3 linked regions of the Mus musculus genome follow. The protein of the gene in region 1 binds, or shares a complex with, the protein of each later gene. Links are inferred from orthologs where the notes say so. Each region holds a gene or a part of one and is shown in the gene's direction. Other genes may lie near its edges.

Region 1 (10,051 bases):
GAATGGTGGTGTGAGCCTATAATCCCGGGACCAGGAGATAGAGGCAGAAGAATCAGAAGTTTAAGGGCGACCTGGACAGCCTCAGATGGTTTGAATGCACAATGGGCATTAAATAACCCTGTTTCAAAACAGCAATCCTGAGGAGTGCAGTGACTCCTGTCTTTGATCCCAGCACTTGGAAGGCAGAGGCAAGCAGATCTTTGTGAGGTTGAGGACAGAATGGTCTACAGAGTGAGTTCCAGGAAAGCCACCCACGGCTACATAGTGAGACTTTGCCTCAGAAACAAACAAACTCTAGAACTAGAACAAAGAATCGAGCAAACACACTTCTGGGGGAGGGTATCCATTTAGAAGGCTGCTAGGGGAGAAGATTCTGGAATATCTGCTGCCTCACAGAGAACCATCCTCCCTTCCCCCAACCCCGCGGGCTCTTTGTCGCAGGGGACCAGGCTGTAAGTCATTTTCTGGGGTGTGTATGTGTACGGGTAGGGCTGGGGGGGGCACTGGGGCCAATAGGGCCACCTTCCTCACTGAGGAAGAAAATGCCTGAAAGTTAGTCACTAGGCCTGAGGTGGAGATGGGGATGGAGACACTTGGAGAACTGAGTCTCTTAGAGGGGGGTCATAAGTTCTTAGGCAAGGTAGCTGAGGAAGAGGCCAGTAGCATGGGGTGAGGGGATATTGGGAAATTTTTTGTTTTGTTTGAGAGAGTCTCACATAACCCAGACTGGCTTTGAATTCACTATGTAAGTGAAAAATGACCTTGAACTTCTAATCCTTCTGCCCCTATCTCCCAAGTGCTGGGATGACACGTGTGCCCCACCATGACGGTTTTATATTAAACTAAGGAATGTGCCCAGGGCCGTGTGCATGCTGGGCAATCACTCTACTACTAAGCTACCTTCCTTGCTCCTCTTTTATTTTGTATTGTTTTGCTTGTTTTAATTGAGATAGGCTCTCACACTGTAGTCTGCCTGGCCCAGAACTCATTACATTACTCATGGCCTGCCCTTGGGCTTGTGATGTCTTGCCTCAGCCTCACTGAGGCTAGGATCCCAGGCAAGTGGCTGCTGTTGGGGACGTTGAGGTTGCCAGGCAAGAGTGCTTGGGGGGCGGGGGGTGGGGGGGAGGCCTTCTGGCGTGGAAGAGCTTCCTCCTAACGAGAGGTGTGAGCCAGTCGTACCTGTGATGTCCTTGGCAGCTGCCTCCTTGGCATGGGGGTGAAGAAGAGCCTTCAGACTGGAGGGAATTTACTTAATCTCTTGAGCAGCATCCTCACAGTACTGTCTACTACCACCAACTACTGGACCCGACAGCAAGGGGGGCACAGTGGCCTATGGCAGGAGTGTACCCATGGCAAATGCTCCAACATCCCCTGCCAGAGTGAGACCTTCACCTGCCTCTATATCAGACCACACTCCAGAGCCCACCCCTACCCCTAGCTCCAGATGGGCCTTCCATACCAGGCGCAGACCCAGATGTCCTTTACCCAAAGGCTCTTTCTCCCCAGGCCTGCCTTGCTGTCCTCTCCCTACCAAGTCCTCCGTTCCCATAGGAACACCTGTTTCCAAAATGCAGTCAGATGAGCTCTAGATACTCATGGTGTGTGTGTGTGTGTGTGTGTGTGTGTGTGTGTGTGTGTGTGTGTGTGTAGGGGTGAGGATGGCCAGAAGAGCCCAGGGATGTTCTTTCATGGCACCAAGGCGTCTAGCTGATGCTACCCTGTCTCTCCAGACACCGTGGCAGTGTCCGCAGCGTGCATGGTGTTGGCAGCAACCTTCAGTATTGTAGCTTTGGGGATCGGGATAAGGATTCAGTGTCGAGAGGCAGAGTCACGACGTAGCCAGAATACCATTGTCTTACTTTTCCTCAGCGGTGAGAAGGCAGTCACCCCTATGTAGGAGGGGTGGTGGTGGTGCTGGTGGTGGTGGCAATTCTGAAGGAGTTGGGCCGAGAGAGTTTGACTGCCATGGTTAGAAATGGGAGGGGCCAGGGGGCAGCTGACAGTGGGGATGTTTCTGACTCTTTTCTTCTGCTCTTGGGACTCTTCGCCTCCTGTTGCGTTCTCTTGCCCATCCTCCGTGGGCTTTTGCCTTGTCTCCTTGTATCTCTTTTTGTCCTGTTTGACTGTCCTCTCTTGGAGACCTACTCTACTCTGAAGAGGAGGAAGTGTGGGAGGGGAGATGAGGGAAGCTGGGAGACGTTGAGGGAGAGGAAACTGTGGTCGGGATAGATTGTATAAAGGAAGAATCTATTTTTAATAAAAAAAGAAAAGAGGAGGAGCAAGAAGCCCACGAAGGTGAAGCCAAAGGGAAGCTGGGCGTGGTTTGATAAGTCAGAGACAAGGGCAGTTCTGAGGGGTGGGCTTGGGTGCAGCTTCTACCTGGCCACGCTCACCTGACGGGTGGGCGTGGCCCAGGGTTGCTGCTGCTGATTGCCTTGGCCGTATACACTTCAAAGAATGCCTGGAAGCCAGAAGTCTTCTTCTCCTGGTCCTACTTTTTCGGATGGTTGGCTTTACCCTTCTTGTTTATTGCGGGTAACCAGCACGAGGGGAAGAGGGTGGAGACTACCCCTCTAGAGGACTCCCCTCCCCAGAAACTTCCCAGTCACCTATTCTTCCTAGCAAAGTCCACAATAACTTCCAGTGACTTCCCCGCCCCTGCACTCCAAGACACCCGATGGAAACGCCCTTGGAACCCCCATCCCTAGCTCCCAGGCAGGCCAGATCATCCGCCCCATAGCCCACCTTCCTTCCCCGGGCTCTGTACTCCCTTCCTGCCAGGCTTCTGCTTTCTGCTTGCCGACATGATCTTGCAGAGCACCGAAGCCATCAGCGGATTCCCGGTATGCCTATGAATGCGGCCTGCCTGGGGCAGAATAAAGGAATGGCTTTTAGCCTCGCCCCTGCGTGCTTTTCTGCGGAACGTAGAGACAGAAGCTTGGAGACTACAGAGACACGGATAAAGTGGCTTGTAGAGAGTTAAGGAGGTCAGAAGGAATGTGGGAGGGTAGGAACGGAGACTTGAACCCTGTAACGAGGTGTGTACCCTGGGGATTTGCAGATGCGGAAGCAGGGAGAGGGTGTAGGGACAAGCTGACACCGGGTAGTCCTAGCGGATGTAGGCGTAGAAGAAGGGGCGGGGACGAGCGCACCCGGGGAATGCACGGGGAGAGAATATGGGACTCGGGAGAGTCATAAAGCACGCAGTCGCGGGAGGAGGTGGGGATGAGCGGACACGGGAAAATCACAAGGAAGTAAAGTGTAGACGCAAGGATAAGGAGGGAATCTGCAGAAAGAATGCGGCGGCAAGCAAGTGAAGGAAGGCCTTGGGGGCGTAGGAAAAAAGGCACAGGGTGCGCGTGGGAACACAGACATGGGGGCTTGGAGTGCTGAGAAAGGAGGGATCTAGAAGTGAATTGCAGATCTGGGGACAACAGGAGTTACGAGGAGAGCATTAGGATAAATAAGCCCTCAGCAAACTTCACTCCTAGGAATGCCCTTTCCCCTACTTCTGTGCAACGCCCCCTCCACCCAGCGGTCCGCCGTGGACCCCGCCTCTCCCTGAATTCCGCTTCCTATTGGCTTTTTCTGAGTTGTGCGACGGTTGATTGGTCGGTGTTGCGGCGCGCAGGCGCAGAGACAGATACGGGGCGGAGTGTGTGACTATCTGGATTAGGAGCAACCTGACCCGGCCAGTGACTGCTGCAGGAAGATGGCGGAGCTGCGCGCGCTCGTGGCTGTCAAGAGGGTCATCGACTTCGCTGTGAAGGTGACTTTCCCCACCCCGACTAGGTCCCAGCACCCTGAGACCGCAGCTATGAACGTCCAAGAGCAGGAGCGTGCCCCACATAAGAGAACCTTTCAAAAGTCAATTTCTATTGCCCTTTGACCCGACGTCAGTCATACTTGGAGCAAAAATCAAGGGCTGTGAGATTTTGACAATCAGATCCTTCTGAGGTGACGACCCTTTTCCCCTCTCTCTCAGTCCCTTGATAACTGTGGGCTGGAGGAGTCATGGTCCCTATTTAACACGTGGAGAAACTGAGGCACAAAACTGGCACTTAGCAAGAGAGAATCAGAATAGAGAATTCTATGTGGGGCCTGCGGTTTCATCACTCATTACCTTGCAGGCTGCACTGTCTGCTCTAAATGTACAGCCACATGGAGAGCCATCTGGTTCCATGGGACTCAGAAAGCGCCTCACCCATATAGCCATGGGATGCTTGTCGACAGTTTTTTATTTAGGAAGGGAAGGAGACCTGTGCTTGCTGGAGAAGCAAGTTCAAAGGAGCCAGCTTAACTAAGACTTTGGAGTGTCCGTGAGCAGTCTGAGGGCAGCACCCCTGAGGCCCTGGGTTCTCCTCAGAGAGAAGCTGCTGTAGCCAGCATTGAATCAGACTGGGTTCCCAGGCCAGTCTCTCAATGCTTAGCCTAATCTGTACTGAAAAAAAGATGGTGGCAATTCATGTTTGTCTGTCCCCATTGTCCTGTGATCCCCCTTTGTGTCCTTCAAATTTCCTAGCATAAGGAAGATGCACCCAAGAGACCCTCTGAGATAGGTAAAAACGGGCTATATCATTTAATACCACCATCTACGTACCGCAGTTGAGGAATGAGACAAGAAGGATTCAGGAGACAGACTCAGACTTAATGTCCATGACCCAGACAGCACACATGGAAGTCGGCACAAAGCACCAGCAGATATAATTCCTGTACAGAGATTGATCCCTTTGTACAGCTTCTGTACTCTCAATCGAACAGGGTGGTTGAGGAAACCCAGGCCCGTGGAGGCCCTGTTACTTGCCAGATGCCTGCCCCCTGCCCCCAAGCTGGGTAAGCAGCAAGAATCAGGAGTCTGGGCAAGTCTGACTCTCTGCCTGTTTGCTAGAGAGAAAACGGGTTGGCTTGAGGTGGCTTCTAACAGCCTGTGACAGAGATGGTGCTTCCAGGTTTATTGAGATACATGTGGGTTTGTGGGCAACTCAACCACCATTAATTTGTTTGTTTATTTATTTATTTATTTGGGTGTGTGTGTGTTGATGGGAATTAAGCCCATGACCTTCCAAGTGCTAGGCCAGACCAGCACCACTGAGCTATAGCTCCAGTCTTTTTCCATTTTATTTTTAAAATTATTATTATTATTGACAAGGTATTTTTATTATAATTTAAATTTCTAAAATGATTTATTATTTATTTTTATTTTATGTGCATGGATGTTTTGCTTGCATGCATGCATGCGTGAAGGTGTCCAATACCCTGGGGCTAGTGTTTACAGACAGTTGTGAGCTACGATGTCCATAGCATAGGTCCCCTGGAAGTGCTCTTACCCACTGAGCCATCTCTCCAGTCTCCTCTAATTAGGCCTATGTGTGTGGATATGCACATAGAAGAAGTATAGGTGCCCCTGCAAGCTGGAGTAGAGCATTAGCAAACCCTGAAGCCAGTTATAGGTAATCGTGAGCTGCCTGATGGGTGTGTCAGGAACTGAACCTGGGTCCTTTAAAAGAGCACCAAGTGTTCTTAACTACTGAACTATCTCCCCAGCCCCTAGAGACAGTCTTATTTAGTCCAGGTTGGCCTGGAACTCACTAAGAGGTCGAGGATAGCCTTGAACTCCTGATCCTCCTGCCTCTACATCCTGAGTGATGGGATTACAGCTGTCTACTATCACTCCTGGGTCTCTACATCTTATTCTGAGGCGTTTAATTGCCCAGGCTGGCCTCAGACTCTACATCCTCAACCTCTCAACTGGCTTTGATGCTGGGCCTGCAACCCCGTACCCAGTACCCTCACCACCTTGAATGAACTCTAATCCCAGCGCCTCCTAGTGCAAAGCTTGGCCCATGGTCAGCTAGGCTGTGTTCCAGTATGAACCGAGAGCTTAAAGGTGAATACGGCATGGTGTCCTCTTTTCTTAGGGTCATGGCACTTCCCTCTCACACTGTGCAAGCTTCCTACTTCACATCCAGTGTCTGATGATACCCTCTTTGAGAAAGGCAGTGAGTCAGACCTTGCTACCCTGACTCCTGATACCATCTTTTCATCATCTGGTTACTTGGGCCAGACTTAGGTACCATCTTTTCTCCTAACACTCAATGTCAGAACCCACGGACTGTCAGTTCCCAGCCCCAAACCTTATACAGCACTGTTTCCTTTCTGACCCCAGGCCCTATCCCATTAACCCCTGTCTCACCTACAGCCTAACCCTAGCCTCCCCCTGAGATCTTGGGCTTTCCCCTCCAGCACTTTCTCATCCAGCCTCGGGGACTTCCTACATGCAGGGCTGACCTTGTCTTGGCTCCCCATCACTCTCCATACAAAGTCCCACCTTCTCAGGCTGGCTTTGGGACCCTTGGTTATTTGGTTCAGCCATCTATGGCTGGGGACCTTCTAGGTCTTGGGACCTTCTCCTCCCATTTCTGCTTCCAAACCTCCAGCCTGTACTCTGTCAATTGATTCCTTTGCTTTGGTGTCCTTTCTGCTGTACTCTCTAACATCCTTTTCCTGTCTTGACAATTGTGACCAATTGATTACATCAACATTGAATGAATCTCCTCTCTCCTGAGGTCCCCCCTCCCCCCGAATCTTATCCTGTAAGCCCTTTCCAGAGTATATTGTAGTCTTCTTGTTTACCCCAGTGTGCCACCTGCACCCCCATTTCCAGACTGGCAGCTCCTTGCAGACTGAACCAAGTCTCTCACCCACCTCAGTGTTCCTGGTATCACCCAGTTCCTCATGATGTTTGTTCTCAGATCATTTTTCTGAGGCCTTGTGATCCTTTGCTGAAGATCATGGTGCTCAGAGGCCCTACAGTTCCACGCCCACTCTCCTGCCATGTAACCAGTATCACTTTTTTAATGGGCATTCTGGAATTTGAGATCTTCTGGGGGAAACAGTTGTCTGATGTGTTCACCGTGGAAACAGTCTCAGGCTGCGGGCATCAGAATGGTTCACCCCACTGATAAATGACCCTTAAGATTATTTTTGTTTTATATGTATGAATGTTTGCCTGTAAATGTGTTATGTGCAGTATTTGCATGTATTGCCCTTGGAGGCCAGGGGAGGGCATCTGATCTCCTGGAACTGAAGCTACAGATGGTTGGGAGCAACCACGGGAATGCTGGGAACTGAACCCTGGTGTGTTGCAAGTGCAGCCAGTGCTCTTAACCTCTGAGCCTCATTCTCTTCCTATTGACAGTAGTGCTTATGGTAGTACATACTTTCTGAGGGTTAAGTAATTTTTATTTATTTATTTATTTGAGGTGGGTCATGCACATGCCACAGCACTACTGTGGGAAGTGAGTGGGCTCTCTTCCTCCACTATGTGGGTCTCGGAGATAAAATTCAGGTTATCTGGCTTGGCAGCAAATGCCCTTATCTACTGAACCATCTCAGTGGCTCAAAAGTGTAACCCAGAGTGATTTGGAACCCTTCATCCTTCTACCTATGCTTCGTCAGCATATCCTACTGGCACTTGTCACCACAGTTGGGTTTACGTTAACTAACTCCTTGGAAGAGTGCCTGGTGTGCAGTGAGTGCTGTTAACGATTTGGATGGCCAGTGATGGAGGTCTCTTTAGCAACTTCCTTAAAATATAACTGGTGCTTGCTCAGACAGGGAGAAGGAAAGTATTAATAGGTATTTGGCCACTCAGCGAGGTGCTTGCTTCTGGCCAGGAACACATTTTCCATGAGGGTTAGCCCTCTGAGGTAACCAGGAGAGGCTGGAGGATGATCTGAGGCCCAGGAAGGCTGTGGCCAGCTGTGAAGTGGCCGCCGCACCCCTTTAGTGCTTAAGGAAACACTGGCTCCCACACCTTTCCTTCATTACCCTCGCTTCCCCCCCCCCCCCAACCCCAGCCTCAGGCCCTAGTGTTGCCCCCAGGAGATCTTCTGTATTTGCTCAGTGCTCTGGCCCCACAGTAGCCACGCTGTCACTGGTGTTGCCAGTGTGTGATCTCCCATCAGGCCTTGCTGCTCTACTTGTTCTATGTCCTACAGGTGCCCTTTCCCATCAAGCTCTGTTAAGAGTGTGGCACACACCCAAGTGGAAGTCTGTGCACTGTGTCAAGGGTCCAGGAAACTGCATTTAAAAGCCCTCTCTTAAAAAAAAAATTTGTGCGTGTGTGTGTGTGTGTGTGTGTGTGTGTGTGTGCTTGTGCATGTATAAGCAAGCATACAGGTGTGTGCCCACAGGCCATGAGCCTAGGTCAGAGGACAACATGAAGGAATCAGTCCTCTCCTTTTACCATGTAGATCCTGAGGTACCCCTCAGGCTTGGCAGCAGGCCTCTTTATCCACTGGGCCTCTGGTTTGTCTTTAGTTTGTTTTGTTTTGTTTTGTTTGAGACCAAGTTTTATGTGTCCTAAAGTGGCCTTGAACTAATTCCCCTGGGTCTAACTCCCAAATACTGGGATTATAGGTGTGCACCCCTACACTCTGCTTATAGAAACCCCCTAGTACCATAATCCCATCTATCCAGGAAGCCTCCTCATGAACACTAAGAGGTCAAGCCCATCCTCACCTACAGTGAATCCAAGGCCATACTGAGCATAGTTAGAGCGGGGAGCACATTGCTGGTGATGCAGTTCTGTGAACCAACAGGCTTGGGTTGCATCTCGACGTGGGAATAAGAGATAGTGTATTCTGGCTACACCAGAGAGGCAGGAGCATTGAGATGAGGGAAGCTTTTCTGTAGGCCCACGATGCTATATGGAGGCATTCTTAGCCTTTGGGTTGATGGAAGGAAGCTAGTGGTCTGCTAAGTTAATAGATTCTAAATGTTCTTATCTGTTAATCACAGATGTTAGCTCAGACACAAAGGAGGGCCAAGACTAGACTAGAACTAGCCCAAGATAATTAGTCTCTGGCCCTAAAACCTTACAATCTCTTGACAGTTCTGATAGTCTAATGAAAATCTTCAGACACAGCTTGTTTTCAGGAGTTTTCTTCGAAAACCAAACCCCTCTCTTGGAAATAGCAGCAATAGACACACTTGCTACCTCCATAGAGCTTCCTGCTTCCAAGACAGCCTTAAGTTAGACCCCCGTCCCTCTGTTCCCACCTCCCTGGGTGACGGTGGGTCGGCACCTGACTTCTCTGGGCCTCAATTGCTCCAACATGGCAATAGCAGTGACCAAGTTCCCTGGCTTATAGGACAGACCACACGAATGCAAGCTGTTAAAGCCACTTAGACCTTGGGGCCGAGCTCCTGCATGGGCAGAGCTTATGGAGCTGAATGGAGCGCTGCCCCGTATCTAAAATAGAAGCACGAGAGGCCTGGAGAGGCCACTCAGTGGTGCGGTGCTTGCTGGCATGCTGGACTGAAACCTCAGTTCTGCCACAAAATAAAATAAAATAAAACACCACTGCAGATGTGCCAACCATTGCTTTCTGACTTAATCCCCCAGGCATCTGGAAACATGTGGGTCTCACTAAGCAGGTGAACTAGCAGGTTCCTTGGCCCCTTTGTCCTAGCATAGCCATAGTGATGTCAGCCCTGGGCCTCTCTCCACTCACCAGCCCCAGCCTTTTATGCAGAGGGAGTTTCCTACCTGTCTTGAAGAGGAAATTCATATAATGCTTTTTTTTTTGTCTGCTTTACTGTAGGGTTTGATAGCCCAAGTTGGACTAAACTGTATTATGTAGTCAAAGATGACCTTTAACTTCTGGGATTACAGGCCCATCTCACCATGCTTGATTTACCGGATGCTGGGGGTGGAAGCCAGAGCTTCATGCATGCCCGGGAAAGTGCTCTACCAACTAGGGAACCTCCTTGGCCCTTATTGAATTTTATCTTATTTTATTTATTTATTTATTTATTTATTTATTTATTTATTTATTTATTTTGTTTTTCGAGACAGGGTTTCTCTGTATAGCCCTGGCTGTCCTGGAACTCACTTTGTAGACCAGGCTGGCCTCGAACTCAGAAATCCGCCTGCCTCTGCCTCCCGAGTGCTGGGATTAAAGGCGTGAGCCACCACGCCCAGCTATTTATTTTTTTCTAGACAGGGTTTCTCTGCGTAGCCCTGGCTGTCCTGGAACTCACT
Region 2 (10,063 bases), on another chromosome or scaffold:
CCCTCCTCGTCATCCCCTCCAACAATCCGTCCCCTATCTTCCCTACCCTTCTCTTCTGAGCAGGTGGGACCCCCACCCATCCTCCCACTACGGTATCCTCTCACCCTGGCACATCAAGTCTCCATGAGGTTAGGTGCATCCTCTTCCACTGAGGCCAGAAGCCCAGCTAGAAGAACATATTTCCACCTACAGGCAACAGTTTTTGGGAGAGCCCCCGCCCCCAACTCTAGTTGTTTGGAACTCACATGAAGGCCAACCTGAGTCTGAGATGGTAGCTGTGATGTTATAAAGGTGAGAGATTATAAAACTTCCCAGTGTTGGGCACCTCAGTTGCCAAAGATTAAATGATATATGTTGTCAGAGTCATCTTGCTCTCTGCTTCAAGCAGCTGAGAGACAGGATTTGACAGAATAGATAGGCCCAACTCTTATCAAATAGATGCTTCAGTTTCAACATCATTTCACATTTGCTATCAGTGTTTGGGTTTGGTAGGGAAATTTGTTTTCCTAGTTCCTAAGATTTGAGTAATCTTTCATGAGTCACATGTACATAATCTATGTTCCATGGACAAATATTAAAGTACCTTAAGTTGATAATGTAGGCATGATACATTCATGTATTTGGGTATATTCGTTCAATTCTGTATTGTTGTGGTAAATACTAGTTAGCTGTGGACATCTTATTTGCTGAATTTAATTTGATAGGCCACTCATTTCTGAAGCGGAGAGGTGGAAAGAGGGTCGGTCATGTGGAGCCCAAGCTAGCCTCGAATTGGCTATGAACTGAGCATGATCTTGATCGTCTGATCGTCTTTCCTCCTGAGTGGTGGGACTATAGGTGTCTGACATCCCTGGCTCTCCAGGTCTCTTAGTTCTTTCCAAAGTCTAGCTGTATCTCTCCAGCTCTAGATGTGTTCTAGTCTTTAACTCCTGAAGGTCCTGGCTATGTGAAGGTAGCATTTGCTAAGCACGTTCTTCTTTCCTTCAGTTCCCAGAACCCGAGAAGCACCCACCTACCTTAATGTGTTTGTTTTCTGGCTTTTGAGATTTCTGTTTTCTCATCCAGTAGTGTCTCAGCTCCTTCACTCAGCTCGATCCATGAACTCTGAGTTCATAGTTTAATCATACCTGGGGAAATTGATGGTTTCAAATTTCTATTCCTACGAAGAGTTTTAAAAAGAGAGTAAAGGGACTGGAGAGGTGGCTCGGAGAACTGACTGCTCTTCCAGAGGACCCAGGTTCAATTCCCATCACCTACATAACAACTCACAACTGTCTGTAACTCCAGTTTCAGGGGATCTGACATCCTTAAACCAATGCAAATAAAATAAAAGTTAAACAAATTTAAAGGGGTAGGGAGCTGGAGAGATGGGTCAGTAGTTAGGAGCACTCACTGCTTTTCCACTAAGAATCAGATCCAGGGATTAGAGCCAAATGGCTAGATCTAGCACTCAAAGTACAGCCAACAATTTCAAGTGTGACTTTTGCTCGACAAACAGCAGCACTACAGAACGTGAGCCTGGGTTTTCCCTAGCATGGCTGACTGGAAGAAACCACAAAGGCCTGAGGTAAATGCAGTCAGTTCTCCCTCCTTTCCTCTCTTTTCTTTCTTTCCTTTAAGTATTTCTGGGAACTGAACCTAGCTCTACATTCATGTTAGGTAAGTACTCTACCAGTGAGCTGTGTTCCCAGCCTTTTTTGCAATTTTTACTTTTGACCCACAGATCTTTTCAAGTGGCACAGACTTGTCTTAAACTTGCTCTGTAGTCCAGGCCTTGAACTTTCTACCTCCTACCTCATCTCCTTGAGTAGCTAAACCTTCATCCCTCCCACCCCTGGCCTTGGAACTACTGGTCCTCTAGCACCCATACCTCCTGAATGCTAGGATTAGAGGTGTGAATCCGCAGGCCATCTTGAATGATTATATTCTTAACTGTCCTACACTGTAGGGGAATCCTCTCCTTGTGAGTTCCTGCAGACATATAAATTTTCAGTAACTGAGCATAAAGATTATGCTTGCTTGCTAGGGACATAGCTCTGTGGCTACTTCTGACTAGCCAATGGGAAACTAAATCTTTGCCATAGGAAGGATTGTGCATCACCACTTTTATCAAATAATCATCTCTTGGGGATTGGTTCCAATGCTTTCAATTAATCAGGGATCTACCCGTCGAAACGATGAAGGTCCTTGCCCCCAATTAGTCTTTAATCAATCAATAAAGATCAATGGCTGGGAGGAGAGAGGGGGGCTCAACGTTTAGATTATGTGGGCTAGGAAGTGGGAGAAAGGAAGATGGAGACTCACTATGACTCAAAAGAGGAGGATGGGACAGAAGAGCTACAGTAGATTAAACCAACCAGCCCTGTAAGAAGTGGCCTCTGGCCACTTTCCCAATTGGAGTTGGGTACTAGGTAAAAGTTTAGGAGTGCCCAACCTTTGAGCTAGTTGTGGCAAGTCAAAAATCAACGTGTGTGTGTGTGTGTGTGTGTGTGTGTGTGTGTGTGTGTGTGTCTTTCATTCGATAATCCAAAGATCCTGTGAAATCCGCCAGGAGCCAAAGTGGTGTAGCTAAACTCACTGCTACAACCAACCATCATCAGGAGACAAAGCTGACATTAAAGACTTGCTCATGTGAAGTAATATGAATGTACAGCAGGGGCCATTGTTCAGGACAACTGGCTTGGCCTCTTAAAGAAAACAAGAGGGGGGCTGAGGAGACAGCTTAGTGGTTAAGAGCAGAGGACCTAAGTTTGGTTCCCAGTACACACAGCCAGCAGCTGGCAATCACCTATATCCAGTTCCAGGGAATCCGTTATCATCGTTTGGCCTCAATGTGCACAGAGACATACAAATATACATATTTTTTAAAAAGATGCTATTGTTGGCTAAAGATTGATTAAATTTTAAAATAGAAGAAGTTAAAACCAATTTGAAGTAGGAAAACATTCATAGAATTCTGGTTTGAAAACAAATTACATGTAAAAGTCACTGGAGAAATGCACATATTGACTATGTCTGGATATTAAATGATGATAGAGATTAACTGTCCAGACAGATGTGACAACAGAACTCACATGACAATGTGTTATATAAATATTTAGAGTTGGAGCGTGTTATGTTCAAATTAGTTCTGAGACTAATCAAATTCTTAGAAATTGCTCTTACCCAAAAGCTCCAACTCTGTGCTGGAGAGATGGCTCAGCGGTTAAGAGCACTGACTGCTCTTCCGAAGGTCCTGAGTTCAAATCCCAGCAACCATATGGTGGCTCACAACCATCTGTAATGAGATCTGATGCCCTCTTCTGGGGTGTCTGAAGACACCTACAGAGTATTTACATGTAATAAATAAATAAATTTTGCCGGGCGGTGGTGGCACACGCCTTTAATTCCAGCACTTGGGAGGCAGAGGCAGGCAGATTTCTGAGTTCGAGGCCAGCCTGGTCTACAAAGTGAGTTCCAGGACAGCCCGGGCTATACAGAGAAACCCTGTCTCAAAAAAAACAACAACAACACTCCCCCCCACCCCAAAAAAAAGCTCCAACTCTTCACTTGGGCTCAAAGATTGCTGAGAAGGATAAAAGTCTGCTACCTTCATTTGCATCTGTTCTCTTAACTTTGGGTCCAACTCCTTAATGCTATACAGTCAGTCAAATATTGTAAGATCGCTAACCCTTGTTATTCCTGTTTGAGAGTGAATGTGAGGTGAAGCAAACACACTGTACCAGAGACAGAGAGACACGCTCTCAAAGCATCTCTCCAGGCTACCCCAAAGTCTCTGTTCCAATGAAGTAGCAATATCAAGATGCTTAATGGAAACAGAGCAAAGAAGGTCATATTTACATCAAAGTACTTTTCAAATACTTTAGTAGAAATGTTACAGAAAAAAAAAAAAAGCCATAGGCTTCCAATGCTATCTGACAACATTTGCCATCTGGTTGGTGGGAGGTAGGTGTGTGCCTGAATATTCTAAAGAATGTACCTAATGGTCACAAAGCTGTTAGCTTACACATAAAGGAAGGCAATAAATGGCTGCCAAGGAGGCTAAAAATGGCACAGATAATGTTGTTTGTGGACCTGGAACATTCCACAATCAGAGGTTTAAACAGCTCATCAGACTAGCAGGCCATTCAAAGGAAGATACCTTTTTCTGGAATGTTCCCTTACAACCATTAGAAACTATGTTTCAGGAAAGATTGTTGATGTTGAAAGATTAATCTTATAGATCTGAGCATTTATCTCACAATGGAATCCACATACCTTTTCTAGGCTTTGGTGTGCCTGACAATGCTACAGGTAAGACAGAGAGAAGATGAGAATTTTTCATTGTTCATTAGTCTCAAAAATAAGCTCCTGTCTCCCAGTTCCTTGAAGCAGAGAGCAAGAGGACTATTGACAGCTTAATCTTTGGCAACTAAGGTACCCAACACTAAGAAGTTTTATAATCTCTCATCTTTATAACACCACAGCTACCATCTCAGACACAAGGTCTAACTGGAAGACAATGGGAATTTAAGCAAAGTTTACAAACTCATGAGCAAAATTTCACTCCCAATGTTCACTGTCTGGGGAGCTTTTGGATAGGCTCAGCTTGGGTTCCCAAGGATGCTTCCCACATCTATATAAGTGGATAATAAGTAGCCTTGAAAACGTTCAGAAAAATAGATGAAATAAACACTATTGTGCTTTGGTTTGTTTAGGTTTTGCTACTTGGCTCTCGCTGGCCTCAAACTCGCAGTGATCTTCCTTCTCAGTCTCCTGGCACTGAGATGTCTTAGTCGCCCTGGCTACACATGCAGCTAATTTCCTATTTAAATTTTAAGGAGTACAGACTACCTATCGATCTAGCCCAGAATTTGTTGTTCCAGTGAATACCGGAGCCATAAAGAATCTGACTCTCCAAGTAAAGGTCACAGCTGACTGCTAGAAACGTCTGGCTGCGCCCTCTGGCCTAGATTCGGGTCCAGCTCTCCCGGGCAGCCCTCTGGAAAGAACGTGACCTTCGGGCTCCGGTGACACTGGGCACACAGTCTTCTTCTCCGGGCCAAGCACAGAAGTTTAGGCTCGGGCAAGGTCGGGAGCAGGACGCATGCGCAGAGGGCCTTCAGGCCACTCCCTCTTCTGGCCCAGGTCCGGACCCGAGACCCTCCCTCATCTAGCCCCGCCTCCCAGGCCACACCCCTTGAGCCTGCAAAGACCACGCCCAAGGTCTTCTGCTTGGACCCGTCATCCCTCTGTCTCTCAGCCGAAGTCAGTCTGAGAGCTCAGACCTCATCTGTGTGTAAAGGGACTCCCTAGGCCACGCCCCCGAGGTCTGCAGACTTTGACCCGCACGCCTCCGCACCCCTAGAGTCTAAGGCCCGCCCCTCTCCTCCCTCCAAGCCACGCCTCCTGGGGGCGGGACCCCCGTCCGTTTTGCTTGCTGCACGGAGGTGGTCGGAGGCAGCAGATCGAGGAGCCATCATGGCAGCGGCGTTCCGCAGAGGCTGCAGGGTGAGCGGGTGACCGGGTGGTATCGGGAGGGTCGGCCCTACGCGGCCTGGGGGAAAGCGGGAGCCTGCGGGCGTCCCCCCGCGCTGCCTGCCGCCCTCCCTCACTGATCTCCGGGCTCTGACCCCTGCAGGCGTGGCCCTGCGGACCTGCTTCATTCTGGGTCAATGGGCTCAGCCACTTCTCTCCAGTCACCCACGCTTCTTGAAGGGAACCCGGTGTCAGAACCCTGCTGTGGCAGAGGCGATCACTTCCAAAAAACTTTGACTGTAGTCCCACCCCAGGAAGGCATCAGTGTGTGGTTCTGTAGCCACGGGCGTGAACAAGTGTTAGGATCCAAACAGGTTGATCCTGGGTGTGCACAGAACACAGGCACAACACGAAGGAAAGGGAAGTGGGCCGCTCCGCTCGCACCAACAGGGTTAGGACGCCTGTGGTTTTGTGATGTACAGGCACCCTTCCAAAAAACAAAAGGGAGACAAGCCTACCGAAGAATTTTCATGAAGCTTGCTTTCTAAATGTTGTACCCTGCAGAGTTTTGTCTCCTAAGCTGTTTTAACCACTAGTTTGTTATATTAGCGATGTGTTCGTACAAACCTCCATTTATACCACCTAAAACTGGACTGAAGTTGCCTCTGGCACCGAAAGCTGTAGTTTTAGAATTTACAACACCATTACTATACAACTCAACAGGTTCTGAAAGCAGAAATTGAAGGGTTTTAAAGTTATTTTTTATTCTGACAACAGAACTACAGGTTTCTTGGTGCCTCCAAGGACAAGAGAGGGAAAGTCTAACACCATAACAAAACAGAAAATGCATTCCTTTATCCTATTTTTCACACCGGGATAAAACCAAGAGTCAAATTTCTAAGTAATTCGTTACTTAGTTATGCTGTAGTTGCGGGCTTGAAGACTAAAGTTAGTAGTGTTCCCATATTGGAATTCCTTGGTTTTGGCAGAGAGCCAGGAATAATAAACGCAATTCTCTTCTGACTTTAGAGTTTCAGAGTGTCGTCGTTCTTTATATTGGGTCTCATTTTGTAGTCCAGGGTGGTGCGGCGCTCACAGCTTCACCTCTGCCTTCAAGCCTGGCTGTCTTATTTTAATAATCTCCAGTTATCTCCTAGGATTAGTGAGCCTGATTTTCAGGTGTAAATACAAATTGTGTGTTTGGAACTGTTCCCAGACGGGTGTTTGCAAAACTTAAACTCTATGTTGTAATGCTAAGTTTTTAACCCTGTTCTTTTTTTTATTGTTTCTAAGCTGTCTACACACAGACACGTGCACACTCACATACACAGACAGGTGTGTTCACACACACAGACACACACAGACCTGCACATCCTCTCTGCACAAGCAATGAGCAGGCTCGTGCGTGCATTAAGCTACTCTAATTGAATGACTAATGTCAGTATATAAGGAGCCCAGTAATGGGCCCGCCACTTAAGTTGTATAAAATGCAGCTGACCAGTTTTGTAGAGTGGTGGTCTTCATTTAATCTCGGAAGTAGAGGCAGAAGAATTGAGATCCCAAGGCTAGCCTGGATTCCACGGTGGGCTTGGGGGCTATCCTAAACTACTTCAAAAGAACTTGTCCTAACAGGAACACAAACCAAATTATTAGGGCCTGGTGTGGTGGGTCAAGCCTTTAACCCTGCATTTATGAAGGTAGAGTTAGGGAGCTCTCTGGGAGTTCAAGGCCAGCCTTGTGTACAAAGTAAATTTCCAAATCAGCCACAGCTACGTATTGAGACCTGTCTCAAAAACAAAACAAACAGCACCACCAAAAACTGCACTTGAACACACACACACACACACACACACACACACGGAAGGAGGGAGGGTGGAAGGGAGGGAGAGAGAGAGAGAATGAGAATGACTGAGCAATTTACATTTTTTTCTCATTTAATATTTACTGCTCTTGCGGAGGGCCTGAGTTGGCTTCTCAACACTGATGTTAGGTGGCTCAGAACTATATGTAACTCCAACTCCAGAGAATCCTGTACCCTCACCACACATATATAGACACACAAATGAAAAACTATAAAATTGAATAACATTTCCTTTATGGTTAGGCATCCCTCTAGCTTGTAATTGACGTTTGAGTTATAATTTATTTAGTACTGACTTTAAGAACGTAGCTCTTGAATAAAAACATAGCCATACAGATGCTGTGCTTGCCCTGGGGTCTGTATGACAATACTCATTTGTGTGCGGATGTGTCTGTGTGGAACTCTCAGTACATGCAGCAAGGTGGAAGCCAGAAGACGGTGGTGGGAGTGAGTTCTCTCTCCCACCACGTGGGTTCCAGGGCTCAGGCTCCGGTCACCCGTCTATACAGTAAGGACCTCAATGGCCTAGCCAGTGTTTTTGCATTTGGTTGATATTTAGGTTATTAAGTTTACTTATTATATCTATTTTTTTTCCAGGTCCTGAGAAGTGTTTCTCATTTTGAGTGTCGAACACAACACTCGAAAGCGGCTCACAAGCAGGAGCCCGGATTAGGGTTTAGTTTTGGTATGTGTCCCTCCCTTTGACTTGAAGGTCTGCCTGGGCTGTGTCTGTAACATGATGTCTGTTGATGAGTGGAGCAGACACCGCCCACAGTTGGCTCCCGGTAACTTCCGTCTGCTGGACTGCGTTGCCTTCTTCCGTATGCTCTCCCGAAAACTGCGTTGCCTTCTTCTGTATGCTCTCCCGAACACTCAAGTGTTCTCAGGCGGCCTCTATGGTGTCCTTTCTCTTCTTTCCCAAATGGTAGCCCAAATAAATGAATATATATGAATTGTTTTCAACCTACAGATTAACTGTAACATACTTCCTTTGTCTTTGGAGACAGTCTCACTATATAGCTTTGGCTGGCTGGAGCTCTAAGTAGAGAGATAGGCAGGCCTGCCTCTCCCTCCCTAGTACTGAGATTAAAGGTGTGAGCAACCACACCCGCTGGCTTAACAAATATTTCTCCAAATACTCATCGGTTCAGTGGTGTAACAATTAAAAAATTGGCCTGATTTATCTGAGCTGCGGTTTGATGCTGTTATACGGTGTCCTCAGACCTGAGACCAGGTGGCCATGTGGTTTTGGAGGGAAAAGAAGCTAGATTCTTCTTTTCCTTTTTACAAAATGAAACATTCCGAGTTAAAAATGTGAAGTAAATCCTGGTTTTTGGTGTCCTTCACCCCTAAAGGGTTTTTACTTGAAGTTGTTACCTTGCCTCTAGCTAGGAAACCATTTTCTCTGTTCCCTTGGTCTCTGAAAAGTTCCAAGGCTGAGCTGGTTAACAAGCACGGGGTCCTTGGTGGCTGAACGCATCTAGGTTTATTGACTTTATTCGAGTATACTTGAGTGAAAATACATACATACACACACACACACACACACACACACAACTGGAATTAGACTTTTCATATATCATGAGCATAGCAAGTTGAATTAGTGGGCGTGTGAGAGTAGCAGCCTTTACTCTGACTGTTATCTATTCTCAGCTTTTTTGGGGGGCGCAGGGGAGGCGGGTTTCAAGACAGGGTTTCTCTGTATAGCCCTGGCTATCCTGGAACTCACTTTGTAGACCAGGCTGGCCTCGAACTCAGAAATCCACGTGCTGGGATTAAAGGTGTGCGCCACCACGCCCAGCTTTATTCTCAGCTTTTTACATATGAATTCCTACATACTTGTGGGCAGTTCCGAGAATCTGACAAGCCTCGGAGTGCCAGAGGGTGAGGCAGATAGAGGAGTTTGGGAGGGAGTTTGTGAGCTCAGACTAAAGTGCAGGTAATGAGAGGACTGGTGGAGGAGCGCACCTTTGACCCCAGCACTTGAGACCGAGGCAGGTGGATCTCTTGAGTTCGAGGGCAGGCTGATCTACAGAGCTAGTTCCTGGCCAGCCAGGACTAACTGGTTCTGATGGATAAAGTAGGTATAACAAGTGCAATAGGATATCATGAAGATTACTGAGTTGATGAAAGCAGGTTGCCAACAAATAATAATATGGTAGACGCCTTTCCTTCTGACTTTGGACTCATCTGTCTAAAGTCGGAAGGAATTATCTCCAGTCTTTGAAGTGAAGAGATCTGGAAAACCCCAGCAGCTCCGAGCCCCAGGCTCCTTGACTGCTGCTGTCATCACCACGAGCCTCGAGGAGCCACCTCCTCTCTGCCTGGTCTCCTGCTTTTGTCTTCCTGGTTCTTTGTTTGTTTGTTTGTTTGTTGTACTTAGTAGTGAAACCATAGAAACCAGTGTGCCAGTCCCCTTAAAGGAAGACTGCTTGGTGTGTCATCAGGCTGTGTGGATGACTGACGGAAGTACACAGCTTTCAGCCATTCCTTAGTCTCCGTGTCTTAACCATGAGACTTGATCTGTCTTTTACACTTTGCCTCTCGGCCCCATACAAATGAGAACTGTAGATATATATTTTTTTCTTTTTTTAAAGACAGGATCTTACTGTGTATCCCTATCTGGCCTGGAACTCACCATGTAGAACAGGCTGGCCTTGAACCTACAAAGATCCTCCTGCCTTTGTGGTCTGAGTGCTGGGTATAAGGGTGTATGCTGCCTCACCTGGCTTGTTCTTCTAAGCG
Region 3 (9,558 bases), on another chromosome or scaffold:
GCCTGAGCAGTGGCGTAGGACGGAGCTGACGTCCGTGCTTTACACTACCTCAGGAGACCATGCTGAGGTCAGTAGCATCTGCTGATGCTAAGGACCATGTGAATGTCTGTGGTCTGCACTGTAGCCAAAACCATGTGTAAGTCTATGATCCAGCCTCCTGCTGACTGAAGGGGCAAGGGAGGGCAATACTTTTGCCGTGGTATTGATGACTGCAGAATCACAGTTGAGAAAGAAGGCTTCTGTAACAACCGAAGCAAACAATCAAAGATGTGCAGCTCTCTCTTCACTCCTTTTGTAGAAGTGAACAGTTTTGTTGAGTGGAGTCTGTGATGTTTGATCTAACTTCTTTTTTCTCCATTTCTCATGCAATCCTGAGATCAGATAGAATATTTCTTCTTTCCTCAAATCTCTGCTGCCATTTCTCATCTTGTCACGTTGACCCCTAAGCTTACTTGCTTTCCTCTACTGATTTTACTCCATGATCCGTACCTTTCACTGTTTGCCTCTCTTCATTTGAAAAACTATCTTACGATTGGTTATACACGAACAAATCTTACTTCCCACGAAATCTTTGAGCGTGGGGATAGTTCTTGTTCATTATTTTTTTCTTTCTTGGTTTTTTTGAAAATATCCTGGGTAACCATGAGCTATGTTTTGGTGGTGGTTTGATATTCTGGCTAGTTAGAGCTAGATATGAGTTCAGCTCACCCCCTTTTAATTTTAAAGCATATTCAAACAGTTGAAACACCAGCAAAATTGCTGCTTGGTGTCCTTAAAACTTTTTAAAATTACATCTTTTAGTTGAAGGTGCATGCACATGCCACAGTGCACACATGGAGGTCAGAAGACAACTTGTGGAATCAGTGCTCTCTTTCCACCATGAGTCTGGGGTGGAACTTAGGACTTGAGGCATAGGGCAGGTGCCTTCACCATCTCCAACCTTTTTTTTTTTAATATTTTTTATTGGATATTTTCTTTATTTACATTTTAGATGTTATCTCCTTTCCTGGTCTCACACACCCCTAGAAACCCCCTATCCTATCTTCCCTCCCCTGCTTCTATGAGGATGTTCCCCAAGCCACCCACCCAGACCCGGCCTCCCCGCTTTCACATTCCCCAACACTGGGGCATCGAGCTTTCACAGGATCAAGGGATTCTTCTCCCACTGATGCCCTACAAGGCCATCCTCTACTACATATGCAGGTGGAGCCATGGGTCCCTCCATGTGTATTCTTTGGTTGGTGGTAGTCCCTGGGAGTTGGGGGGGGGGAGGTCTAGTTAGTTGAACTTGTTCTTCCTTTGGGGTTGTAAACCCCTTCAGCTCCTTCAGTCCTTTCTATAACTCCTCCATTGGGGACCCTGCACTTAGTCCAATGGTTGGCTGCAAGCATTTGCCTCTGTATCTGTCAGGCTTTCATGAGACAGCTATATCAGGCTCTTGTCAACATGCACTTCTTGGCATCCACAGTAGTGTCTGCGTTTGGTGACTATATGGGATGGATCCCCAAGTAAGGCAGTCTCTGGATGGCCTTTCCTTCAGTCTCTGTCCCAAACTTTGTCTCCATATTTGCTCCCATGAGTATTTCTCCTCCTTCTAAGAAGGACCAAAGCATCCACACTTTGCTTCATGTGGTCTGTGAATTGTATCTTGGGTATTCCCAGCTTTGGGGCTAATATCCTCTTATCAGTGAGTGCATACCATGTGTGTTCTTTTGTGACTGGGTTACCTCACTCAGGATGATATTTTCCAGTTCCATCTATTTGCCTAAGACTTTCATGAATTAATTGTTTTTAATAGCTGAGTAGTACTCCATTGTGCAAATGTACCACATTTTCTGTATCCATTCCTCTGTTGAAGGACATTTGGGTTCTTTCCAGCTTCTGGCTATTATAAATAAGGCTGCTATGAACATAGTGGAGCATGTGTCCTTATTACATGTTGGAACATCCTATGCCCAGGAGTGGTATAGCTGGGTTCCCAGGTAGTACTATGTCCACTTTTCTAAGGAACTGCCAGACTGATTTTCAGAGTGGTTGTACCAGCTTGCAATCCCACCAACAATGGAGGAGTGTTCTTCTTTCTCCACATCCTGGCCAGCATTTGCTGTCACCTGAGTTTTTGATCTTAGCTATTTTGACTAGTGTAAGGTGGAAATCTCAGGGTTGTTTTGATTTGCATTTCCTTGATGACTAAGGATATTGAACATTTCTTTAGGTGCTTCTCAGCCATTCAGTATTCCTCGGTTGAAATTCTTTGTTTAGCTCTGTACCCCATTTTTAAATAGGATTATTTGATTCTCTGGAGTTCAACTTCTTGAGTTCTTTGTATATATTGCATATTAGCCCTCTATAAGATGTAGTATAGGTAAAGATCTTTTCCCAATCTGTTGGTTGCTGTTTTTTCCTATTGACAGTGTCTTTTACCTTACAGAAGCAATTTTATGAGGTCTCATTGATTCTTGATCTTAGATCATAAGCCAGTGGTATTCTGTTCAGGAAAATTTCCCCTGTGCTGCCCATGTGTTCCAGGCTCTTCCCCACTTTCTCTTCTATTAGTTTCAGTGTATCTGGTTTTATGTGGAGATCCTTGATCCACTTGGACTTGAACCTTGTACAAGGATATAAGAATGGATCGATGGTGGTGGCACAAGCCTTTAATCCCAGTACTCAGGAGGCAGAGGTAGGCAGATTTCTGAGTTCGAGACCAGCCTGGTCTACAAAGTGAGTTCCAGGATAGCCAGGGCTATACAGAGAAACCCTGTCTTGAAAGAACAAAAAAAAAAAAAAAAAAAGAATGGATCAATTTGCATTCTACATGCTGACCTCCAGTTTAGCCAGCACCATTTGTTGAAAATGCCTTTTTCCACTGGATGGTTTTCGCTCCTTAGTCAAAGATCAAGTGACTATAGGTGTGTGGGTTCATCTCTGGGTCTTCAATTCTATTCCCTTGATCTACTTGCCTGTTGCTGTACCAGTACCATGCAGGTTTATTTGTTTTATCACAATTGCTTTGTAGTACAGCTTGAGGTCAGGGATGGTGATTCCACCACAGGTTCTTTTATTGTTGAGAATAGTTTTTGATACCCTGAACTTTTTGTTATTCCAAATAAATTTGCAAATTGCTCTTTCTAACTCTATGAAGAATTGAGCTGGAATTTTGATGGGGATTGCATCTTAGATTGCTTTTGGCAAGATGGCCATTAATCTTGCCAGTCTACAAGCATGGGAGATCTTTCCATCTTCTGAGGTCTTTGATCTCTTTCTTCAGATAATTGAAGTTCTAGTCATACAGATCACTTGCTTGGTTAGAGTCACACCAAGGTATTTTATATTATTTGTGACTATTGTGAAGGTGTCTTTCCCCCAATTTTTTCTCAGCCATTTATCCTTTGAGTAAGGAAGACTACTGATTTGTTTAAGTTAATTTTATATCCAGCCACTTTACTGAAGTTGTTTATCAGCTGTAGAGTCCTCTGGTGGAATTTTTGGGGTCACTTAAGTATACTATCATATCATCTGCAAATAGTGATATTTTGACTTCTTCCTTTCCAATTTGTATCCCTTCGACCTCCTTTTGTTTTCTAATTGCTCTGACTAGGATTTCCAGTACTATACTGAATAGGTAGGGAGAGAGTGGGCAGCCTTGTGTAGTCCCTGATTTTAGGAGGATTGTTCTCCATTCAGTTTGATGTTGGCTACTGGTTTGCTGTATATTGCTTTTACTTTGTTTAGGTATGGGCCTTGAATTCCTGATCTTTCCAAGACTTTTACCATGAAGGAGTGTTGAATTTTGTCAAATGCTTTCTCAGAATCTAATGAGATGATCCCAGCACTCAGGAGGCAAAGGCAGGCGGATTTCTGAGTTCGAGGCCAGCCTGGTCTACAAAGTGAGTTCCAGGACAGCCAGGGCTACACAGAGAAACCCTGTCTCGAAAAACAAAAGCAAAAACAAATTTGCATTTTAAGCCAGGCAGTGGTGTCCCATGCCTTTGATTGCAGCACTCAGGAGACTGAGGGAGGTTGGTTACTGAATTTGAGGCCTGCCTGGTCTACAGAGTGTTCCAGGCTAGCCAGGGCTGTACGAAGAAACCCTTTCTAGAAAAACACTAAAAAGTAAAGGAAGGAGAGAAGGACGTAGGACAGAAAGAAAAAAAATTGTCTTACCGTATCTATTGCTACAGTGAAATACCATGACCAAAAAGCAACTTGGGAAGGAAAGCATTTATTTGGCTTACACTTCCACATTGGTTTTCATCATCGAAGGAAGTCAGGACAGGGACTCAAGCAGGTCAACAACCTGGAGGCAAGATGTGATAGAGGGGTGCTGTTTACTGACTTGCTCAGCCTGCTTTCTTGTAGAACCCAGGACCACCAGCCCAGGGATGGAACCACTCAAAATGGGCTGGACCCTCCCCATTAATCACTAAATAAGAAAATGCCTTATAGCCAGATCTTATGGGAGCCTTTTCTCAGTTCAGGTCCCTTCTTTCAGATAACTCTAATTTGTGTCAAGTTGACATAAGACTTCTTGATTTTTGTTAGGTAAGGATCTGATATGATAAAGGTAGATAGCTTAATTTATGCTATCAAGGGAATATTTTATTAATGCACTTAATAAAACTGAGCATTGCACGTCAGAATGTTTTCTTTAAAGCCCACATGCATAATAGTTATCCTGAAAGACTACATTAATGTTCTTCTCCTTTTCTTTTAGGCCTCATTGCTCCGTTTTCAGAGTACCTTGGTAATAGCTGAGCATGCAAATGATTCCCTAGCACCCATTACTCTAAATACTATCACTGCAGCTGGACGTCTTGGAGGTGAAGTGTCCTGCTTAGTAGCTGGAACCAAGTGTGACAAGGTGAGAGCTTTTTAAGGTCAGCCATAGCAAATATAATCTCCATCAAGAGGCAGTGAAAGATGGCAACAGTTATTATGCTGACTCTAACTGGGCTCTAGTCCTCATTAAATGGCCAGTGTCACAGATATTATTGTGTATGAAAAAAGAACCAAAAGGTTTTTCTCATGAAGCATTTTGTCTTTCAAAATGAGGTGGAATGCCTGATTTGTTCTGCTGGCACCATCCTGTGCCATCAGGTACCAAGTAGAATGGCATCTGAGTCCTCTTAGAGTTAATAGCAGATTCTTTCTGTACTGTACACTTGTTAATTTCTTCTAATTCCAGAAAGTAGTCAATCTGGGCAAAGTATCAGAGATGCTAATATTTAATTGGTAGAAGAACTCAAACCTTCTTCTCATTCTTCTCAAATTATGGCTGGTGGTAAATGTTGATTTTGTTGTGGTTGTTAAATAACAACTTTGGAAAGTAACTCTTGGGAAACTTTATTCTGCTGTGCAGACAAGAGCCTATTAAGACTACAGAGCTTAGCAGGGTGTGGTGGCGCATGCCTTTAATCCCAGCACTGGGGAGGCAGAGGCAGGCGGATTTCTGAGTTCCAGGACAGCCTGGTCTACAAAGTGAGTTCCAGGACAGCCAGGGCTACACAGAGATACCCTGTCTCGAAAAACCAAAAAAAAGACTACAGAGCTTTAGATGCCAGTTCCCCTCCACTATATCAGAGTTGCTGAGTGTGTGACAGGGGGTTTGGCCTTCATGAAGAGTAAGTGTTGAGAGAGAATGTTTCTTTTTAGCAGGCTACATATTTTATTAAATTGTTGATGTAGCACACATGGTAATGCAGGTTAGAATGTTAGTGTCACTTCTAATTCCTTTCATAAAAGTGGTGTTTTTAGGACTGTTCAGCTGGTTTTGAGTTACGTAGGTTTCTTTATCTCACTCCTCTTGATGGTTATTGAACCTTTTTCTTAGGTTTTTTTTGTTTTTGTTTTTGAGACAGGGTTCTCTGTGTAGCCCTGGCTGACTGTCCTGGAACTTGCTCTGTAGACCATACTTTCTTTAAACTCAGAGATCTCCTGCCTCTGCCTCTCAAGTGCTGGGATTAAAGGTGCACACCACCACCACCCAGCTGCTTATTGAATCTTATACAGTTACTGTTTACCACAATGTCTGATAATAGAGTTAAGCCAACTTTGTTTTTTGTCTACTCAGTTTTAAAATATAAACAGATACTAGATCTATTTGTTTTGCTGAGATTTTAACTACTTTAAAATTTCTTTAAAGTACTTGATATTTAATCATTTGCAGTCTTGTGTATTTCTTGTTCTTATTTTTAAGAAAGGTGTCTGCTAATAATGTAGACAGATTTTAGTTTTGTATTGTTTTTTTCAGCTGTTAATCATAAACTGAAAGTGATTATTCTATGTATTACTGAAATTTTGACAGTTAAAAAAAAGTTCTAATGGGAAATTCTGTTCTCTTTGTATCCAGGCTGATGTGTAGCAACTTTGGAATTAAGTGGGTTTCTTAATTGGAAATTTCTTGAAACCAGAGATGCTAAATACTGGTGTACCTCTGTGTAAGACAGTGTGATGTGCTGCTCAGCACTCAGCCCAGCAGAGTCTTCCTGTGTCCTCCTTTCAGTGAATACTGTGGAACCTTTTAGTCCATGGAAGAGGTTAGGAGGCTCAGCTTCTTGTGCCCAGTCATCAGTGAATTAGCAAATGGAAGACAGTAATAGCTGATGGGACTGATAAGCAGAAACCACTCATATTAAAGTTACTTTAAAGGAAGAATGCTAATTGCCTTTTGAACAGAAAATCAGAGTAGTCAAAGGTTTCTCAGAATCCGTACTTAATTCTAAACAGGAAAAAAATGAGAAGTTAAACAAGAAAATACCTTCCTTTGTTGAAGGTAAGTATGTTTGTGTAGGCAGAAACTCCGTGTTGACAATGGGCTGTAATTGAAGATTTCTCTCTATTTCTTGGAATTATTAATCTTACTCTCAAAAGAAATTATTGTTAAATTAAGTGTAGTCAACTTTAGAGAAGTTCTGCCTTCACTTTTAACAGATCCTGAGTCTAATGTGTCTTATTGGCTTGGATATACATATAATACCCATATGTGCATATATATGTGTGTGTGTGTGTATATATATAGAGAGAGAGAGAGACAGACAGACAGACAGACAGAGACAGAGAGAAATCTCATTTTAGTTCTCCTTTCCTCTTCCTTCTTTTTTCCCTTTGTATTTCTGAGAGTGGATGTCACTCTATCCCACACTGGCTTAAAATCTGTGATTCTGCTACCTCAGCATCCCAAGTACTGGGTACCACATCCAGTTTTTACTTTTCTCCTCCTAAAATAATGCACTTAAATTGGCATCAATGAAAAAACATAGTTTTCAGCTAAATTTGAGTAAATTAATAAAAAAATTGATTTTGGTTTATCAATTAGTATTAAAAAAGATTTTATTGGGGCTGGAGAAATGGCTCAGCAGTTAAGAGCACTGACTGCTTTTCCAGAGGTCCTGAGTTCAATTCCCAGCAACCACATGGTGGCTCACAATTTGTAATGGGATCTGATGCCCTCTTCTGGTGTGTCTGAAGACAGTGACAGTGTACTCACATACGTAAAATAAATAAATAACTTAAAAGATTTTATTTATTTTTATTTCATGTATATGAGTTTTGCCAGCATACTCATATAGGAATCAAGCATGCAATGCCCTGGGGGCCAGAAAAGGCTATCAGAACCCTTGGAACTCAAGTTACAGATAGTTCTGAGCTGCCACGTAGATGCTAGGACCTGAACCTAGGTCACCTTTGAGAGCAGCAAGTGCTCTTAACTGCTCAGTTGTTTCTTCAGCCCAGTTCTTTTGTTTGTTTGTTTGTTTGTTTGTTTGTTTGTTTGTTTGTTTGTTTTTCGAGACAGGGTTTCTCTGTATAGCCCTGGCTGTCCTGGAACTCACTCTGTAGACCAGGCTGACCTTGAACTCCTTTTGTTTTTTAAGGTAGAATTTTTATAGTGTGACTGATTATGTCAGTTCATAGTAAAATCAGTTAGCTTGTAATTTTCTTTAAGAATTTTTTTCGAAAGGGCTGGGGAGATAGCTCATTGTTTAAGCATGCAGACTGCTCTTGCTGAGGGCCCAGGTTTGATGCCCATCACCCATGTTGACAGCTTTCATCTGCCAGTAATGTTAATTCTAGGGAACCTAGCACCTCTGACTTCCTTGGGCATCTGTACTCTGTGTACATATATGCCCTCCCCATAGACATAACTAATTTTTTAAAATGTTATTTTAAAAAGAATAATTTAAAAATAAAAACCTAGTGCGGTGGAATATTTGTAGTCATAGTATTCTGGAGACTGAGGGTAGAAGACCGTTGCAAAATCAAGGCCAACCTGGGCTACGTAGTGAATACTAGGTCAGCTAAGGCTGGTAACAAGACTCTTCTGGGGAGAAAGTACCAAAATAAGACCAAAACAAACAAACAAAAAAACAACATAGCAATGTTTTTATTTTTTTTTAATTATCTTTATTGACTTTACTAAATAGTTTTGTGTCAACTTAACATCTCATCAGAGAGGAGAGAGCCTTAATAGAGAAAATGACTCCATAAGATGAGTTGTAAGCAAGTCTGTAGGTCATTTTCTTAATTTGATTGATTAGGAGTGGGGGGAAGGAGAGAGAACTAGGCCTTGTGTGGGCTTTTGAAACCTCAACCCCCATATCTCCTACCCCTTCCCCACCCCCCCATCTACACACCTTTTCAACAAGAACATAACTCTTAATCCTTTCACAGAGTTCATCAGCTGATCAGCTGGGGACTAAGCATACACGTATATGAGCCTATGAGTGGCATTCTTTTTTCTTTTTTGTTTTTGTTTTTGTTTTGTTTTGTTTTTCAAAACAGGGTTTGTCTGTGTAGCCCTGGTTGTCCTGGAACTCACTTTGTAGACCAGGCTGGCCTTGAACTCAGAAATCCACCTGCCTCTGACTCTCAAGTGCTGGGATTAAAGGCGTGCACCACCACGCCCAGCTATGGGTAGCATTCCCCTACACCATCTCAAAACAAACACATAGTAGTTTTTCATACTTGGCCATTAAGATTTTATGCTTGGTTAAAACTTAACAGTGTTGGTTCATTGTTTCTTTTGGTGGATACTTAGAAGCCCTTCTCTTTATCACAGGTGGTACAGGATCTATGTAAAGTAGCTGGCGTAGCAAAGGTTCTGGTGGCTCAGCATGATGCATACAAAGGCCTTCTTCCAGGTGAGGTGTTCTAGTGGGAAAATGTAGTCTCTTCTGCTCGATATATGATTATGAAGACAGCATGAAATGTGTTTCATCAAATGTGTTTAATTCTCAGAGGAACTCACACCATTGATTTTGGAAACTCAGAAGCAGTTCAGTTACACACACATCTGTGCTGGAGCGTCTGCTTTTGGAAAGGTGAGAAGTGAGTGAATTTCACTGGGCTGGAAATGTAATGCTCTTTGTTTAAATAGCCAGTCCTGACTTGCTTGCACTAAGGGGCATACTGCTAACATTTATTCTTTTAAGATTTCATCAAATTTTCAAATTTTGTCACAGAGATAACTATTATTTTAGAATTTTATTATAAATTATTAACCTGTCACTTCTAGGTTTTGGAATTGGCCTAGATAAAACTATTATTATTAAATGGATTTGT

The links.
Region 2: the proteins of Etfb (region 1) and Acadm are in contact, whole or in part, in a crystal structure (PDB 2A1T), measured with the Homo sapiens proteins. The link is inferred for Mus musculus from reciprocal best matches to the Homo sapiens genes ETFB and ACADM. Residues at the interface, in NP_001976.1 of Homo sapiens: Glu73, Arg76, Thr77, Tyr192, Ala193, Thr194, Leu195, Pro196, Ile198, Met199, Lys202; in NP_000007.1 of Homo sapiens: Glu43, Gln44, Lys46, Glu47, Phe48, Thr51, Lys54, Phe55, Glu58, Glu59, Arg80, Glu83, Leu84, Gly85, Leu86, Leu98, Leu100, Ile108.
Region 3: the proteins of Etfb (region 1) and Etfa are in contact, whole or in part, in a crystal structure (PDB 2A1U), measured with the Homo sapiens proteins. The link is inferred for Mus musculus from reciprocal best matches to the Homo sapiens genes ETFB and ETFA. Residues at the interface, in NP_001976.1 of Homo sapiens: Ile14, Tyr16, Val18, Ile20, Val22, Val29, Thr31, Phe41, Leu102, Arg106, Lys124, Gln125, Ile127, Asp128, Asp129, Asp130, Cys131, Asn132, Gln133, Gln136, Met137, Ala139, Gly140, Phe141, Asp143, Trp144, Pro145, Gln146, Thr148, Phe149; in NP_000117.1 of Homo sapiens: Glu27, Leu88, Pro89, Glu90, Ser113, Ala114, Phe115, Lys117, Asn118, Pro121, Arg122, Ala124, Ala125, Lys126, Glu128, Val129, Ala130, Pro131, Ile132, Ser133, Arg146, Thr147, Ile148, Tyr149, Ala150, Gly151, Asn152, Ala153, Leu154, Cys155.

Annotation. Positions count from the first base shown.
Region 1 is NC_000073.6:43,440,433-43,450,483, forward strand, and holds the start of Etfb (electron transfer flavoprotein subunit beta), read left to right. Parts: upstream 1-3,679; 5' UTR 3,680-3,715; coding exon 3,716-3,772; intron 3,773-10,051. Other genes in the region: Cldnd2 (claudin domain-containing protein 2), read left to right, coding at 1,214-1,382, 1,734-1,874, 2,419-2,509, 2,785-2,986. UniProt on the Homo sapiens protein: Heterodimeric electron transfer flavoprotein that accepts electrons from several mitochondrial dehydrogenases, including acyl-CoA dehydrogenases, glutaryl-CoA and sarcosine dehydrogenase.
Region 2 is NC_000069.6:153,939,823-153,949,885, reverse strand, and holds the start of Acadm (medium-chain specific acyl-CoA dehydrogenase, mitochondrial precursor), read left to right. Parts: upstream 1-5,242; 5' UTR 5,243-5,460; coding exon 5,461-5,490; intron 5,491-7,915; coding exon 7,916-8,003; intron 8,004-10,063. UniProt on the Homo sapiens protein: Medium-chain specific acyl-CoA dehydrogenase is one of the acyl-CoA dehydrogenases that catalyze the first step of mitochondrial fatty acid beta-oxidation, an aerobic process breaking down fatty acids into acetyl-CoA and allowing the production of energy from fats.
Region 3 is NC_000075.6:55,495,321-55,504,878, reverse strand, and holds part of Etfa (electron transfer flavoprotein subunit alpha, mitochondrial), read left to right. Parts: intron 1-4,714; coding exon 4,715-4,861; intron 4,862-9,055; coding exon 9,056-9,137; intron 9,138-9,234; coding exon 9,235-9,317; intron 9,318-9,558. UniProt on the Homo sapiens protein: Heterodimeric electron transfer flavoprotein that accepts electrons from several mitochondrial dehydrogenases, including acyl-CoA dehydrogenases, glutaryl-CoA and sarcosine dehydrogenase.